2 linked regions of the Arabidopsis thaliana genome follow. The protein of the gene in region 2 purifies or fractionates together with the protein of the main gene of each other region. This does not show direct contact. Each region holds a gene or a part of one and is shown on either strand. Other genes may lie near its edges.

What was found.
Region 1: the proteins of RPM1 (region 2) and CR88 purify together in Arabidopsis thaliana (affinity purification with western blotting, with the first as the bait; one study listed by BioGRID). This does not show direct contact.

The regions. Positions count from the first base shown.
Region 1 is NC_003071.7:1,278,736-1,288,258, reverse strand, and holds CR88 (Chaperone protein htpG family protein), read right to left. Parts: upstream 6,506-9,523; 5' UTR 6,277-6,505; coding exon 6,025-6,276; intron 5,917-6,024; coding exon 5,843-5,916; intron 5,758-5,842; coding exon 5,632-5,757; intron 5,542-5,631; coding exon 5,448-5,541; intron 5,358-5,447; coding exon 5,274-5,357; intron 5,187-5,273; coding exon 5,043-5,186; intron 4,961-5,042; coding exon 4,844-4,960; intron 4,762-4,843; coding exon 4,726-4,761; intron 4,613-4,725; coding exon 4,532-4,612; intron 4,455-4,531; coding exon 4,350-4,454; intron 4,255-4,349; coding exon 4,114-4,254; intron 4,023-4,113; coding exon 3,930-4,022; intron 3,841-3,929; coding exon 3,763-3,840; intron 3,685-3,762; coding exon 3,430-3,684; intron 3,348-3,429; coding exon 3,245-3,347; intron 3,164-3,244; coding exon 2,989-3,163; intron 2,894-2,988; coding exon 2,788-2,893; intron 2,708-2,787; coding exon 2,618-2,707; intron 2,539-2,617; coding exon 2,350-2,538; 3' UTR 2,115-2,349; and 1 more. UniProt on the Arabidopsis thaliana protein: Molecular chaperone required for chloroplast biogenesis. Essential for chloroplast biogenesis and maintenance, and thus for embryogenesis. May be involved in the disassembly of VIPP1 for thylakoid membrane formation and/or maintenance.
Region 2 is NC_003074.8:2,223,686-2,232,170, forward strand, and holds RPM1 (NB-ARC domain-containing disease resistance protein), read right to left. Parts: upstream 5,871-8,485; 5' UTR 5,340-5,870; coding exon 2,559-5,339; 3' UTR 2,170-2,558; downstream 1-2,169. Other genes in the region: AT3G07030 (Alba DNA/RNA-binding protein), read right to left, coding at 81-149, 253-359, 458-552, 741-815, 890-978, 1,069-1,149, 1,447-1,569; NSN1 (GTP-binding family protein), read right to left, coding at 5,917-6,261, 6,357-6,568, 6,670-6,849, 6,962-7,226, 7,321-7,535, 7,634-7,807, 7,890-7,983, 8,208-8,452.

The sequences.
Region 1 (9,523 bases), on a different chromosome or scaffold from region 2:
AGAACTAGAAGTGCCAATCTTGATTCCATTTATCTTAATATCGAATCAGCTCTCCATAAAATGGTACCACAATAGAGATGACTTGTCCCGGGCCAGAATCCAATATACCATCCTGAAGGTGAATCCCTCTTAACTAACAAGACTCTTCTCGTTTCTACTTATATATGTTTGTAGTAATACTCTAGGTCTCTTGTTTATCTATAGTTTCACCTCGTGATGATTCGTGTGTTTGGAGGATGTCTGTCGAGATTGTTTCTTTCGCATCAGTGAGATTTCCCATGCATTTTAACATGAATCTATACCTCTGTTAGGGATATGATTGATGTGGCTGCTCTAGTACTAGTGCTGCGGTAAGTTTTGGATTGTTTGTGATTTTTGGCCTTCCCCATTTGCTCTGATGGATAATTTATCGTGTAAAAATTAACCAAAATCGATAAGATAATAAGATGATAATTTTTTAAAAATCCCTATGTAAAAATATGGTCCCAATAATATCATAAATTAATAATCATAAATCTAAGCATAGATTCTAACACTAATTTTATATGAAACTTTTATTCAAGTCACAATTACAACTCTCTTTAGAGTACCGTTGGTATGATCTCTTTTGTACTCACGTAACTCTTTGCGCATTTTATCCGTCATATTTGGTTTTGTAACATTTTTTAATCATTGGTAAGATTTGGATAAAGAAAATTTGGATTAAGCCTCACGTTAACGTCGTAAATATACGGACACAATATATTGTAGAAAAATAAATTAAAAAGTCAAGAGAAAAATAATTTTTTTAACAGAATTGAATATACAAACAACAAAACATAAGAAAAACTAAATTAATAAACATTTTTAAAAGACTTTAGTATTGTATTTTACGTAAATATTTCTATAAATTAATATTTATTATTTTATCCTATAAATTAATAAATATTAATTTATAGGATAAATTAATATCACTATAAATTAATTAAATTTTATGGTCCCAACATTATTAATTTATAGAGTTTCTACTGTATTTATAGAGGATGCGAGTTAGGTAATTTATTTTTCTAATAGGATTTTGATGGTTTTACAGTGTTACAATTTTACTATTAGGAAAAGTAAAGTTTCTTTTTTTTCTTAATTTCCTTTTTATTTTATGAAAGTATAATTATCTCAACGGAAATTAATTAGTTTTTTTTCTAATTGTTTGGTTAACGATTGTTCCAACATTATAAAAATCCAAAATTTATGTAACCAGAATTTTCTTATATTTATACATTTTCTATACATCAAACAAGTAAAAATCAGAATTGCTCTACTAAAGTATTACCAAATAAATAATACTAGGATTAAACTTGCGGTTTACCGCGGGAGATTTTTTTATTTGTACAGTTGTCAAAATAGTATTAGAATTATATAATTTAGTTTAACTCGTGTTACGTCCAAATTAGTATTGTAATTATAAATTTAGATATGTCCAAGGTCATTAACAATTCCATTTTACTCATTCTCTATCAAATAAATACAAATTCTAACCCATTATTGCAGGTCGGTATTTGATTTAAATTTTGACCAAGAAATTTTCCATCAAATGATTGATTTGGAAATCATTTTGATTTGGAAAGTTTTAATGGACCGTTAAGATTATTAGTTTAAATAATATCCGGAAAATGTGTGATTGTACCATATTTTGATATATCGAATATTGATTTTTAAATATAATTTATTCCATATGCATAATTATGAATTATTGTAAATTCTAATCCGCTCCACTAATTAATTCGCGAGCTCTTAATATTGTTTGCCAACATAATATTTTTAATAAAAAATATGTAAAATTAATAACTATATTTTTGGTTTATTTTAGATTGATTTTTTATATTTAGTTTTTTTAAATCTTTGAAAAAACAATAAATAGGTGATAAGTATTGAATATAGTGTGTTTAAGAAATATTATTTAAATTTGAAATATAGTGTATTTAAGGAATATAGAGTGATGACCAAATTACCATAGACGATTTTGATTAATAATGTACAAAATCCAAAATTGAAAATTGATGGCAGATTAGACTATTTTTCAATTTGTATTTTCTTTTTAATAATAAGAGGATGTAAATTCAGAATATTTAATACAACTCAAATGCAAATATTTTTCAAATATTCGTAAATATTTTTGTTAAAAGCTTTTTTTGTGTAAATTCTCTAAAATTATTTTAATTATCAAAAAAAAACTACAAATACTGTATTGGATAAATCTCGTTCACGCGTGATTTAATTATGGGCTTTCATTAGGCCCATGATACTGCTAATGGAAAGATAAAGCGTTCTGTCAAAAAAAAATCACTGCAAACAAAAGAAGGTAAAAAAGGATCAATCTTGCCAAGGATCACTCTCTGCCCTCACTTCAGATGGTTCAACTACCTCTGTTTCTCCGCTTTTGTCATCTCCTTCATTCACAGTCGAGCTTTCTTCTTCTTCTTCAACTCTGCCCCATCTTCCTCCAACCGCCATTGCCATCATCTCATATATCTTGTTCCCGAGCTCGGCCGGGCTATCAGGCTGTACAACAAACACATATAAGTGAGTAAAATGGTCCAAGACTTTTACTGGGAAACAAGAAAGGTTTCAGATTTCTTACAGTGAATCCACTTGATATTATAGCAGTGTCATACAAGAGATCGACCACTCTTGTTGCTTCAGTGCTCTCTGGTGCATTCTTACAAGCAGCCTGTACCAAAAGAATACAAAAATTAATAAGGCTTTTTCGAGACAAGAGATTTCTGAGAGAATATTATACCACACACTTACGTTCAAGTCTTTGATGATGGGATGATCTGGATTGATCTCTAGTATTCTCCTACCTCTCATGAACTCCAGGCTTGAAGTGTCTCCAAGAGCCTGTGCCTTCATTAGCCTTTCACAATGAATAAGCACATAAGTCAATGAACAAGCACATAAGTTTTATGGTATGTGGATTTCAGGTTATAAAGCTTTTGCTGAAGTACTAACCTTTCCATATTAGCTGACCACCCGAATTTGCCAGAGACAAGCACACAAGGAGAAGAGCTCAAACGGTTTGAGACTTGGACTTTTGCAACTTTGTCACCGAGCTGCTGTTTTATCCAGTCACAGAGAAGGTTAAACTCTTGTTTCGCTTCCCTGTCCTTTACTTCATCTTCATCTCCTGCGAGAATGGACACGTTTTGTTACAAACAAATGGTTGAGAGAAATGTGCGGGCAGTCAGCAGTGCTAAACCATACTTACCGAGTTCCAAATCTTCTTTACTGATATCAACGAATTTCTTTTCTTTGTAGGTTTGCAAATTCTGAATAGCAACTTCATCGATTGGTTCAACCAAATATAGAACCTATAATTAACAAAAGCAAGTGGTGAGAAAGTCAAATCTAAACAGAAACTCGAAGTTGAAAAACAAGTCTTGAAGCATATACCTCGATATCTTTTTGGATTAGTTTCTCCAAGAAAGGGGCAGACTTGGCACTTTTAAGACTATCAGTTGCGAGGTAGTAGATCGCCTTTTGGTTCTCTCCCATGTTCTCGATATAATCATCCAAGCTTGTCAATTCCTCTTCATTCTTGGAACTGAAGAATCTAAGTAGCGGTGTGATACGCTTGTGGTTACCGGTGTCTTCAATACAACCCAATTTAAGGAATCTACCAAAGTTCTCCCAGAATTTCTTGTAATCCTAGAATTGTTTGTACAACATGAATATCCCTGGCTTTCAAATGAGCTCAAAACAAAATTAGGATAATGAGATACCTACCTCTTTGTTTTCACTCTCAGAGATTTCTTGTATCATGTCAAAGGTTTTTCTAATGAGCCTCTTTCTCATGATTCTTACCTGAACATTATCACGAAAGATAGTACAGTTACAATTTGTGATATTCATATATGATAAACATTTGTATCACTAACAGTTGCACCACTCACAATTCTGCTTTCTTGGAGAATTTCACGAGAAACATTAAGAGGAAGATCATCAGAGTCCACAACTCCCTTCACAAAGCTCAGATATCTCGGGAACTGCAAACAGATTAGGTAACATAGTCAGATAAAAATTGAACCACAAATCTAAAGAGATTTCTACATAAGAAAGAACCCATAAAAGACTCACAAGCTCTCCATCAAAATCGTCAGAGATAAACACACGCTTCACGTAGAGACGAATGTTCTTTGTTTTCGGGTTTGTAACATCTTCATTGTTAAGAGGACCCATCCCAGGGATGTACAAAATGCTCCTGAACTCAACCTCACCCTTTAATAATCAAGACAATACAGAGACTAGTAAGCACCAATTGAAGAATTCATAAATTGACATAAATATAGTGTATAGTGTATAAGTATAAAGACCTCAGTTGTGAAGTGTGTGTGAGCAAGTGGATCCAAGAACTCATTGAAAGCCTTTTTGTAGAACTCATTGTACTCTCCTTTTTCCACTTCCTTCGAATTGCGCATCTATTCAAAGACACAAAATAATCAGTAAACATGTTGAAAGAAAAGTACAAAACGCAGGCTAAAGCTCCAAGGCTTACCCATAGCGGTTTGGTCTCGTTGGCTAGTTCCCAATCCCAATACTTCTCAGTTTTAGTGGTCTTCTTTTTCTTTGGCTCACCCTGGAAACAAACAAGTAACAAAATCAACTCAGTAAACAAAATTCTAGAACAGTCTTTTGGTTGTGACTGTTTGATAGTTGATACACACAATTAAAACAACATAATTTTTTTACCTCTTCTCCTTCCTTAACTGGTTCGTCCTCTTCGACCTACCACAAGTTACAAATTTTAAACCATATTAGCAATGTGAATACACTAATATGATTACAAAAACAAAACTTTCATCCTCACCTCTATAGTCCTTGATTTCTCCTGCCATGTATAGATAGGAAACCCAACGAACTGAGAGTAATTCTTCACGAGGTTCTTGATCCTTGTAGACTCCGCAAATTCGTATTTATCATCCTCCTGCAGCCAGGAATAAGCAGTCAAACAAACTATAAGAGATCTGACGCATCAAATGAAAGGATGAATGAATAAAGAAAAGTACCCTCAGATACAAGGTGATTTGTGTTCCACGACGTAGAATGTTATCAGGGTCTGTTTCTTCTCTGATCAGATACGAGCTACTATCGGCAACCGATTCCCAAACATATTGCTTGTCAGATTTGGGGCTTTTGGTGGACACAACAACCTGAAAGCAAAGACAATTGTACGTCCATTCCTCGTAAGAAATACATTAACCAGAAGACACTAAAAAACAAAAGTTGAAAGTCTTCACCTTCTCAGCAACTAAGAAAGCAGAGTAAAACCCAACACCAAACTGTCCGATCAAACCGTTGTCAGCACCAAGGTCCTTGTTTTCCTGAATAAAGAGAGCAATAAAACAATGAGTCCGAAAACATGACATCAAAGATTTGCTAGCAACAGGTTTTCAAAGAGATGGAAAAAAAACCTTTAGAGCCTTCAAGAATTTCGAAGTACCACTTTGAGCAATAGTTCCAAGGCAATCAATAAGTTCTTCCTTTGTCATTCCAATACCAGTATCACTGCATATACGCATCAAACCTCTCTAAGTAAACCTGTTCTATTCAATTTTCAATACTTAAGTAAAACAAAAAATGAGAAGTCTCTCATACGTTATGGTGATGGTGCCGTTATCAGGATCAGGCTTAATCCTAATCTCAAGATCTCCACCATCTCCAAGCAAAGAAGGCTCTGTTACACTCAAGAACCTCAGCTTATCCAAAGCATCACTTGCATTACTGAACATACACAGACACATTCAAAATCAGATTTTGACAGAAACACACAAATCATTTCCAAAACAATCCATCAAAATTGACTCACCTTACAAGCTCCCTGAGAAACACCTCCTTGTGACTGTATAAGCTATGAACAATCAAATCCAACAATCTACTAACCTGTGATAAGATTTCAACAATCAAATCTTAAAACTTTATATCCCCATCAAGTTGAGAGATACCCAGAAAACAAGATTGAAACTTTAGGAGATATGAAAGAGAACCCACCTCAGCTTGGTACTCAAACTTCTCACCTGACCCTTCTTCAGTGGTCTCTTTCTCCGCCACGGCGGCGTCACACTTCACGGCGAATCGGTTACATCTCTTTTCGAGATTCCAGCTACACGAAACGCCGGTTCTTAAAGCGCCGCCGTGTGGGAGAAACGAGCTTCTCAGATGAGAGAGACGAGAAGAGACAGGAGTGATTGGAACTGAAGTCAAAGGAGATGTGTAGAGACTTCTACTCAAAGCAGGAGCCATTAGATTTGAAAGTTGTGAAGGAAAAGATTTGAGATTTTTTTACAATCTCTCAATCTCTAAAGAGAAAAGAGTTTGTAGTAGTTGAACAAAGAGTAACCTAAAAACCCTATTAAAGGTTTAAGGAGAGTGAGGTAAGAGAGGTTTCTAGAAGAAGAGCGTATAAAGAGAAGAGATGTTTAGAGATTGTGAGGTCTACGAGAAGCCATTTCATCAAAACCGTAGGATTATCCGTTTGATTTACACGCGCCTCTCCTTGAGAAATTGTAGCTGACACACACACACACACCAAATGCAAACCAAATTGAAAAAACACCTTATTGGGCCTACACGTTAACCCATAATGGGCCTATAGCCCGTATAAAGTAAAACGAAAGGTTATGGCTGGAAAATGTTTCGTATCAAATTGGCCCATATCAAGAAAGAGATCTTGAATATTTGTTTTTTTTTTTTTTTTTCGTAAATTATATATATGAAAGTTGGCCAACTCTCTTCATATGATAGACACATCATCACTTTAGCATTTGACATGTGTTTATTAAATAATTAATGTAATCTCTTCAATTTCAAATCTATAGTTTAATGATATATTTATATTTAATTTTACATATTATTTTATTATACATATTTAATTGTACTTTTACTAAATTTATTTTAATATCACATGATTTTTTAATAAAATCATTTTAATAGTTTTCTCATACTCGAAGATTTTTATGGTAATCCAAACTCAAAGTATGAGTATATTACTTAATAATTTAACTAAGTTATTCTCTTAAATTGATGTTTATATTCTCTTAAATTGATGTTTATATTCTCTTAAATTGATATTTATATAATAAATAACTGAGGGTGAAGAATATGTAAGGAGCTCCATCATTAAATTCTTAGGTTTATAGAATCCAACACTACCCTCTGTTAAATTGGTTTAAGATAAACATTGTTTAGAAATTATGTGTATGATGCATTGTTGAGAATGTGGTTAGAAAAAAATATTTTAATACTAAATGTAATTGCTTATTGCATGAGTAAATGATAAGATAAATAAAAATTATATTTAAATTAAACAATACAAAAACATCCGAAAAAACCGTGGTGTAGCGCGGATGATCACCTAATATTTCATAAAAATGAAAACATGATAGGTTTACAATCGATGATTTTCAACCTAAGCTAATGGTTCCATGGCAAAAAAAATAAAAACATGGAAGCATAAAAATAACCACATACATAGTGACATATACCAAGATAAAATGATATTAAAATTTTATTGATTTAGAAATTATGAGAAGGTGTGCACTAAATAAAATACAACAATGTTGATGCTAACGAAGATACACGATTGCTAATTATTGGAAATATCGAAACCATACGTTATAGACTCCATACCCATAACTAAATTAACCAAAACATATATAGTTACCAACTTCTCACTGTCCTCTACTTATTTTGCAACTTTTCCTTTTTTTATTACGACTATAATACAGTATGTGGGTATTGGGTATAACCTAAAAACAAAATATTTGCAATTTGGTCAAAAATTTGCAATTTCTTTTAAGAATAATAAAATGATGCAAATGATGTTTATTTGTCCTATTTTTGGATCCAAGGCAGGTATTTATGAATGGTCTACTGAACAAAAGTAATATCTGATGGAGAGCGGAAGCTAAATAACGGACGAAAACACAAAATCTCTATGAGAACTCGGATTAACGAACGGATTTTGTTTAGAACGCCGAAACTTGATGAAGAAGCAATAGAGATAAGGTCGAGATCGATAACGATATCGATGAGGTTTTGCAAATCCTCCTTGCAGGGCTTGAACACAAGCTTTTAGGGTTGAGAGTCCTCCTCTCTAGGCTTTAGACAAGCTCTCTTAAAACTCGTTTATTCAATAATCAAAAACTAATTACAATAATGAATTACATCTCTTAAAATAAGAGAAAAAGAATGGAAACCCTAGCCTAAAGAATAAGCAAACTAATATCAAATATTCAAAGCCCAAATATACATTAATTAAGTCCATATGAAACTAAACCCAAAAGTAAAGCAATAAACAATCTCCTCGGACGTGATGAATACCGGAGGAGCATTTGTCTTCAAGATACGCTGCATCAATATCAGAACAAGGTAAAAAAAGTTTTGGAAGTGTTTGAATTATAATGTTCAATAACAGATATTTACCCCCAAAAAAAAGAATAAGAACAGAAAAAAAAGACTATGTAAAATTTTTTTTTTTACATCTTTGTATCGACAAGACCCGATCAATACTCAATCCCTACTATGCGGGATTGCGGGATAACGCAACTTAGTGAAATCGAATTCCGGTGGAGAAGGCGGAATCAAATGGTTAAGTCCATTTGACTAAAAGCACATCCTCGTATGTAAGATATCTAGAGAATTCAAATTGGTAAATAAAAAACCACTTAATTTTGATAATTATATAGGCTTGTATTGGGTATAATTGAATATCTCTCTCTATATAATAAAAGTTAGTAACACAGAAAACAGAAAAGAATATTTATTTATATAATATATATATATATATATATATGAATATACGATATAATGATTATATAGAAGTCTTGAATATTAAAAAGAGTGTGGTTCATCGTAAGCCGGTGTGGAGGTAGACAAGCACAAAGCACGCAAATTTATGAATTACAATTTACGTAATGTTGTTTTCTTGTTTACAAATACCAATTTTTAACGGACCACAATTCAGTCTCCATCCTTCGATGTTTAGAGATTTTTAGACGCAACAAAAAAAAATTGATCAAACTTTAAATCTCTTAAATTATAAATCAAAGTTTAGAATAAAACGGATCTCTTAGATTTTGGAAATTTAAGAGAGATGAATTATGTATTGTTTATAAAGTTCATTTTGTCAGAGAAAAAAAGGTAACTAATTTCAGCTTATTCTTCTTCTATGTTGTCCGTACAATATAAAGTTCATTTTTTTAGTACCGAGGACTCTTTGTGAAAAACGAAGGATTATGAGATATCTAGTAGTTTAACAAAACATAAATAGAAATTAGGGCATTGAGATTAACAAATTACTTTCCACAAAATAGAGAAACATGTGCAAACTCGAGCATCTATGCAGACTAGTCTCCCTTTGTTTTATCAATTTGCGAGAATACTTGAATATAACTTTTTAAAAAATCATGGGAAGAAAAGAATTGTTGTTGACATAGTTTGAGTCTTTTGATCTCCTAGGTCTTAACATTTATTACCTTATAAATTATTT
Region 2 (8,485 bases):
TGTTGATCTAGATTATAGTCTCATCACCCTTACACCTTATAATATGCTGAGTTTAACTAATTGACAATGTTCAGACTTACCACGATAGCCATAGCTTCGTCCACCACGTCCACGGCCTCTGCCCGAGTTTGAATACCCACCTTCATTGTCTAGTTATCCCAAAATAAAGCTACAAGTCAGTAACAAACTAAACAAACAATAACATATATTTACCATTAGACGAAATGATCGCCTTCTATGGCAAAACAATACCTTGATAATCTTCTTGATAGTTCCCTTGGTCTTTTCCTTCATAACTCCCTTGGTAGTTTCCATATCCACCTCTTCCCCTGCTTCTCCCTCTGCCACGACCTCTCCCTCTCCCATACGAATCTACATTCCAATTAATCACAAGGTGTTATAATAAAACCTACCAACATTGACAGATTTAAATCGTCAAGAAAGTTTAAGGCATTACCTTCACCATAAGCATTGTATGGTAGGCGGGCTTGTCTCCCTTGTTGTGGCTGATATTGAGGCTTAGACTGATCTGACTGTGCTGGAGCTTGATACCTGAACACAATTATAAGCATTTATATTGTAGCTATATCTTAAGAAGCGAGGATACCATGTGAAGTAAAATTCCATAAAAATATGATTCTGTGATGATTCTTTTGAGATAAAATTATTCAAAGCAAACGAACTCTATGAATCAAGACTTCCCAAGTTCCAACAAAAGGATGAAGAAAAGTATAACTCACCCAGGAGAATCTTTGTTTAGCTCGCTCAATGACAATGTGATTGAAATCATGGAAACATGGCGCGTCAACTCCACCCTGCATCATATGGACAATTCACTTGAGGTTACAGAAAAACAAAAGAAAAGAACAGAGTAATGCAAGACACTTACGGAAACAAACCCTCCTCAGTAGGCTCCCAGACATCAGTAATGCTAATAGAACTGATTGCAATATCTTGATGCAAACCTGGGATTTTATTCTGCAGTATGAATTACAAAGTCAGCTACTTGTATAAATCCCAATTAGATGATAAATACTTCACAAAGTTCATAAGAAGAAAAACGCTGACTTTTAGTATCTCAGAGATAGCCACAGTCTTGCTGATTGCCTGCCCCATTGCCTTCAACACAATGTCTTTAACACTTTTCTCCTGAAACCAAAAGAAACGGATCATCATTATTTCAAGTACATCACATCGCAAATAGAGTCATTTTTAGGATCAGAAATGCAAAAAAAAAAAAAAAAAACGAAATCAAAGTAAAATGGTGCATGATGACACATTTGAAACCAAAATGATCGAAAAGAGAAAGGACCCAAAAAAACCGTACAACAGAGTAGCCGAAACACAAGTCCAATGAAACATTACACACTCCAGTGAGCATATACGACGGTGAATCACGATTTTAGCGAACGACTTGAAACAAAGTAGAAGAGAGAGAGAGAGTACCTGAAGAAGACTGGTGGCATAACTGATGTAGTTTCGGATAAGGCCTTTACTGGTGATACGGATCTCATTCTCGTTAATCGGAGACTCTGGTTTCGGTTTAGCGACTCTCTGGTATCTATCCATTTTACCAGAAGATGAAAAGATCGAAAACCCTAGGTTTTAGAGAGAGAACAGTGAACGACGCTCTGGAGAAGAAGAAAGGACAGAGATGAGATTTAAGGATAGAGAAACCCTTAGTAATAAACCCTAGAAGGAGAAGAAGGAATCGCGAGTTTCAAGATGAAGAAGAAAGAGCATCGGGAAAGGCCGATAGTAATACCAAGGGACACCAAAGAGCCTTGAGTTTTTAATTTTTACTATTGACTAGGCCCAAAACGGTCTTTCGTCAAACCGCTTCAAAACGGGTCAGATATTTTCGGATCCGGATCCGATTTTCGGGGAGGTTAGTATGTCTTTTACGTGCGTTAGTTGCACGTGGATAACACGAATGACCAGATATCCATCCATCAATAATAATCTCCGTTTTAACCGCCGCGGATCGTTGATAACAAGATTTTTTTTACTTTCTTCTTTTCAAAATTTCAAAACTTTTCCATCAGTTAAGGAGAAATTTAAAATGGAATGTTTTGGAGTAGTATTAAGTATTTAGTCCAACTGTATCTGGTTATTTCGATTAGTGTAAAGGTCCTAACTTTTGGGATTGTGAATGAGCCACTTTCATTTAGAAGACTAACACGGTAGTGGAATTTCTTGGTTGAAGCCGATACTCAAATAACAATGTCAACAATATTAAGGTCTTAACAAAGTAATGTTTACACAGAATTACAGAACAATCAGCTGACCATATTAAATCTTACTTAAATGAATTTCGAAAAAAAACAGTGGAAACTGCTGTGAAGTGAGCTGTTTAGTCATTAGCACTGACTCATGAGACCAGCAAAAAAATGTTGTCTTTGAGTGAAGAGAAGACCTGATTGTTGACTTTCAAAGACAACACATGACAATCAATCTGTTTGGTAAGCTCATGGCGTTTAGTAGTTATGTGAATATCCATCCCTGATTTTCACAGTACAGTGTGCAGTATCTTGTATGATGAAGCTTGCCTTGGCCGCCTAAGATGAGAGGCTCACATAGAAAGAGCCATTATCAGTTCTGAAATAATGCTTAATCGCAGGAATGTGTTTAACCCTTGACCGGTCCACACTCCCTTCTCCGCGAATGCGTTCTACTAACTGATTAGAAACATGAATCAAATGCAGTTCTTGAAGATTTATAAGATTCTCAATTCCTCTTGGTACGTACTCTAACCCTCTACAAGCCCTGACATAAAGCTTCTGAAGCTCAAACATTGCACCGTCTTCTATAACAACTTCTGTCAGATGTTTCATCTGAACTATCTCTAGAATCTTCAGATTCTGAAATCCTTGTGCAAAACGCAACCTAGGTCCCATGTATGCATTGTAAAATGAAAGCCATACCAATCTAGGAAGCGTTTGGATAGAGAGAATGGCGTTTTCCTGTAGCTGAGATCCACGCAAACCCAAATAGGTAAGGTTTTGAAGAGTGTTGAACCAACTTGGTACTCTCTCCAGTTTCCCAGCAAGAAAGAGCTTCTCAATGCTTGCAGTTGCGATCAGGTCATCTATCTCTAACGGTTCCTCTTCATCAATCGACGTTAAAGATAAGAATCGAATTCTTTTAATCTTATTCAGTGAATCGCACAAGTCTCTTCCATGTTCTCTCCTAACCATGACAAGACTTATTCTTGTGAGCTGAGTCATACACCCGAGATTTTTGATAAGCTCATCTTCTGCGTTGAAGCAGTCCATGACTTGCAAATCCTTCAACTGCCAGATTTTAGGAACAACCCTTGTACCTAAAACATAATTCCAATTGGAATCATGTCCTTCATTGCGGCGAAAAGTAATGAGATATCGCAACTTCTTCAATTTCCACATCCCTAGAGGAAGTTCCTCAATCTTGGAGTGCTTTGTGTTCAACGTCTCCAAATTGACGAGTTTATGGAAGTTTTTTGGCAGTTCTTTCACCTGTGTCTTGGACAAATTCAAGTACTTTAAGTTGAACATAGTTACTAAACAATCTGGTAACTTGCTGATGGAAGAGTCTTCAAGGTCTAAGGCTCTCAGAAGGTTCAGACTTGGAAGTAATTCCATCTTGTGTTTAGCAGAAGAGCAAACCAAAAGAGAGTGAAGGTTTGTTGCACGTATACTATCAGGTGTCATCTCTTTCTGAATGCATAAATGGCGACTACCGTAATTCTCCATTGTTTCTGCAGCATCATCACCATCACTGTCATCATTATATACATCACAGAACCTCTCAAGTTTGGATACAGATAGAGCAATCTCCCATATCACGTCATGCATCTTGAACGCCTTGGGTCGTCCAAAAGGATTCCACAAGATAACTTGAAGCATATTTCTGTAAACAAGTTCATTGAGGTAACTATCAGCCACTTCTTCTGCTTTCACTCCTCTGATCGGTTCCACAAACCTTTGTGCCATCCACATCCTAATGAGCCTCTTTCTTTTCATCCGATAGTTCACAGGGAAAAGAGAACAATATAAGAAACAACGTTTAAGCGGGTATGGCAAATCATTGAAGCTAAGGAACATAATGCTTCGAACAATCTTGAGTTCATGATTGTTGTTCAGTTCCCAGTTTAAAGTACTGTAGACTTTCTTCCATTCTGATTCAAACTTCTTGGTTGACATCATGCTTCCCAAAGAAGCAATAGCTAATGGCAAACCCTGACATCTCTCGACTAATTTTCGTGCTATCGGCTCCAAATTCTGCGTTCTGCATTGCTCAAGACTTGCCGGAAAAGCTTTGTTGGAGAAAAGCACCCAAGCTTCGTCTTCTTTTAAGAGCTCAATCTCGTGCTTTGTGCTCCCAATTCCATATGGGAAAGAAGCCACGTTCATGTCCCGAGTAGTCATCATAACACGACTTCCATAAATACCATCTGGTAAAGCAATACTTATCTCCCTCCATAGACCAGTGGTCCATACATCATCAAGCACAACAATGTACCTCTTCGACTGCAAATACTCCACAAGTTTTTCCACCAACTCTCTGTAGCCTAAGGAGTATAATTCAGCTGGAATCTGTGTATCTGCTTCTTTGTAAAACTCCTTGATCATGGTCCTAAACACATCTTCAATCACATAAGATTTCGAGATTGTAACCCAAGCGTAAGACTCAAAATGCCTCCGCACACTTTGAGACTTGAAGATATTCGCTGAGAGTGTAGTTTTCCCTGAACCGCCCATCCCAACCACCGCGACAACAATCCGCTGAGGTTCGGGACTTAGAAGCCGTCCGATGAGCTTTCCCTTGGGTGCATCAATCCCTACAAGACTATTTTCACTAAAGAAAAGAGATGACTCACTGATGTTGTTCACCCACTTTGCATCGCCATCATCAATAGGCGGTAATAATGCTGCTTGGTAGTTTTCTGAATGATAGTACCTTTTCATGGAATCAGAAATGGATTGAATCATGACATTAACCATTCCTAGCTTTTGAGCTATCGAGTGCCTCGCCCACATATACCTCGGGAAATGAAACGCACGCCAAATTTTGGCGCAGCTACGATAACCGTGGATGTGATAGCCAAACTCGTCGAGAATGTCTTCGATTTGGTAAGCCAAATCTCTCGTGTTTGCCACAAAAGTTTGGAAGAGTTGAGTTGTTGTTGTTGTGGATCCATTTCCACCATGTTTATGAGTATCCTCAAGAAAGGACTTCATGATCAGCAACTCCTTCTTCATTTTATCAATCTCACCATGGACTCCTGACAATAACAAGGTCTCGTTTTCCAGGACACTAAGAATCCGTCCGATCCCAAAATCAACAGTAGCCGAAGCCATCTTCCTCAGAGTCTCGCTTGAACCTTTTTTCCTTCACTGATTTAGTTTCTCTTGGTGAACTTGCTGAATTTGAGCAAAGCCAAGCTTTCGGTTCACACCTTACATGCCTGCCACATAACATTTTGATCAATTATCCTTAAGGACCTCAACAAAGTCAACGTCCTTTACTTGCGTTAAAGTCAACACGGGTTTAAACTGCTTTCACATTTGCAACTTGGAATTCAATTTGACGGATATGGTCGAGTTTGGAAGTTCCAAGAGAGAGACAGAGAAATCTGATGTACTGAACTCGGGTGTTGTTTTCGTCATTCGTTACCTGAAACTGAAAGGGTAAAAGATTATTACTTTCTTCTGAAGGGCGAAGAAGTACACTTACCTCAATGATTTTTGAATGTTCTTAAGATATTTGTTAAGCAAAGCAGAATTGGAATAGAAGAAACGTTAATTAAAGAAATCAAAATCGCTTCAGTATTACTACTAGTTCATGAAGCACATATATCAGAAAGTTTAACCGACCGACTCATAAACGCCAAATACAAAAAAAAAAAAAAAAAAAAACGTTGTGGTTTCCAATCACTCATTCTTCAGGCAAAAGTCCAGCCATTGGGATTTTAGCATCAATCTGGAATTCTTCGTCTTCTCCATCTTTGTTCTTCCTATAATCCACTTTGAAATCATAATCTCCGTCCATCAGATCCTCCTCATCAGCTCCTGCTTTCTTTGCTTTCTTCCTCTTCTTCTTCTCTGCTTTCTGTTTCTTTGTATTCAACATGCTTTCCGCTGCGTATAGCTTCACGTTCTGCCTCCCCGTCTCTGATTTCTCCTTCGTCTTTCCTGCCTCTTCCTCCTCCTCCCCTCCCATTGACTCATCATCATCACTCTCATGCTCAGCCTCCTCTTCCGTCTGCGTCTTAGACTCATCCTGTTTTTTTTTTTTGTGATACATCATCATAAACAAAGATTAAATCCAGACCGAGTCATTTACAAGCAAATGGAATCACGAGAGAAGTTACCAACCTCGATCATAGTTTCATCGAAATTGAGAGGACCATTTGAAGGAATAATAACAGGGTTGAATTCGTTAACCGTCTTCAAGCTCCCAATGAAAGAGGATTCACCACTGTAAACCTCATCGATGTTGAAATCCTTGGCCAGCTCAGTCACAATCTTTGACTCTGCATGTCCACCCTGGTCCCTCTTTGGCGGCATTGTATAGTATGGGATTTTACCTGCATAACCATTCATATTAGAGACAATGATGAGTTAAGAAACTGGTTTTCAAAAATGCTTTTACGCTTCAAGTTTACGAGGAACAAAAAAAGATCCGCACCTTCATTCCAGTCATGCAAAACAATTCTGGCAGCAGCATCAATATCCACAAGACCACCCTTTTTAAGTTTACCCCTTACAGTGGCGACTTTGTAAAGGAAATCATCAACTGCCTCGAAGCTCGGGATTTTGTAGAGAGTCACCAGCATATCTTTAGGACAAAGCTTGAGAATTTCCTTCACTATTTTTTTCACAAAGCAGAAGATTTCCAAGTTAGGTCACTCAGATTATAACCTTTAAAAGACAAAGCACAAAAATAAGTGTGATTCTATCTTGAGCTTATATCCAATTACCTGGACTAACTGGGTCATCCAACTTCTCGATTCTTTTACAATTTCGGAGAGCTATGGAAGCATCATTTCCTGATGATTTCAACATCACAACTCCAGGACAATCCAGCAACTTCACGTTTTTGTCCAAGTGAACCTCTTGCAGAGATCTAGTCAGTCCAGGAGTGGCACCAACATTGACAACATGCGCTCTCTTCAGACTGTTAATAAGACTACTCTTGCCGACATTAGGCAGTCCAATAATACCAACTGTGATAGATTTTTTTAACTGCCAAAGAACAACAAAGGAAGATTTAATTGAAACTGAATGATATAACTTGATGCTAAGGTAGGATGATTAAAGTTTAAACTATGGAACCAACCTCATGACTTCTTGAGTAGTTCTTCAACAATTTGATAAGAGTGTCTGCTCCAAGACAATCACTCGTCTGCAACATATTGCTTGGTTTTGATGCCTTAGATGATTTCCAACCCAAGTTTGATCTCTGTTCCTGGGTGCTACACTTGAAGGCAACAGCTGGAAATTCTTCCCTAAGGTACATAAGCCATTTCTCAGCAGCCTCTCGGGGAACAAGATCTGGAGAGAGTGAATCAGTTACAAAAATTAATTACACCACCCAGAGTAAACAAACAACTTATTACGTCCACGAGTAAAGACTGAATATATGAACTTACCAATCTTGTTCAGCAGCAACACAAGATGCTTATTGGGACCGGCTTGCATCACCATCCTCTCCATGTCAGTACAACGAGTGCCAAGAGGATCACGGGCATCAAGAACCTCCAAAATGACATCAGACAATTCAATGACTTTAACTAGCTCCTTGTAGAAAGCCCTCTCCGAGTTATCTGTGAAACAAAAGACATTAGTGCATGTAAAGGCAGAGAGAAAGCACATAAACGCGTGAAGAAGGTATCCAAAACAACTCACCTCGAACATTGACAACTTTAGGTAAGTCCTCTATGGTCTCTCCTTCTGTCTTGGTATCCTCATCATCAACCAAACCAAGTTTCCTCTTTTTGGCCTGAATAGATTTATTAGGAGAGATCAGAACACAAGCACCACTCCAAAATACGAGTAAATCAAACAGCAAGACATGAAAAATGCAATCTTTTATCAATCAATCAAAACTCAGAACACAAAGGAAATAGCTTTAAGAATTTCGACCTGAACTTAAAGTTATATGATTACTAAATATCTGAACATGTATCATAGCTGTGAGTTACAATGTTAAAAGAATGAGATTACCCTTTCTTTGCGAGCTTCTTTCTTCTGTTCAATCTCCTCAAGAGCACGGGCACGTCGAACTTCAAGGGCTTTAAGCTCTTGTTCCTTGAAAGGCCAGTCATTGGGTATACCTGGGTCTTTCTCTACTCTTGGCTTACGGTGAAGGCCAAGCTTTTTAGCATCCTTTGCCTTCTTCTTGTGGTGCTCCTTCACCTTTTTCAGGACCTTATGCTTCTGCTTCAAGGTCACCCTCTTACTCTTACTCTCTGCAAAAAACCATCAAACCAATCAATAAAACC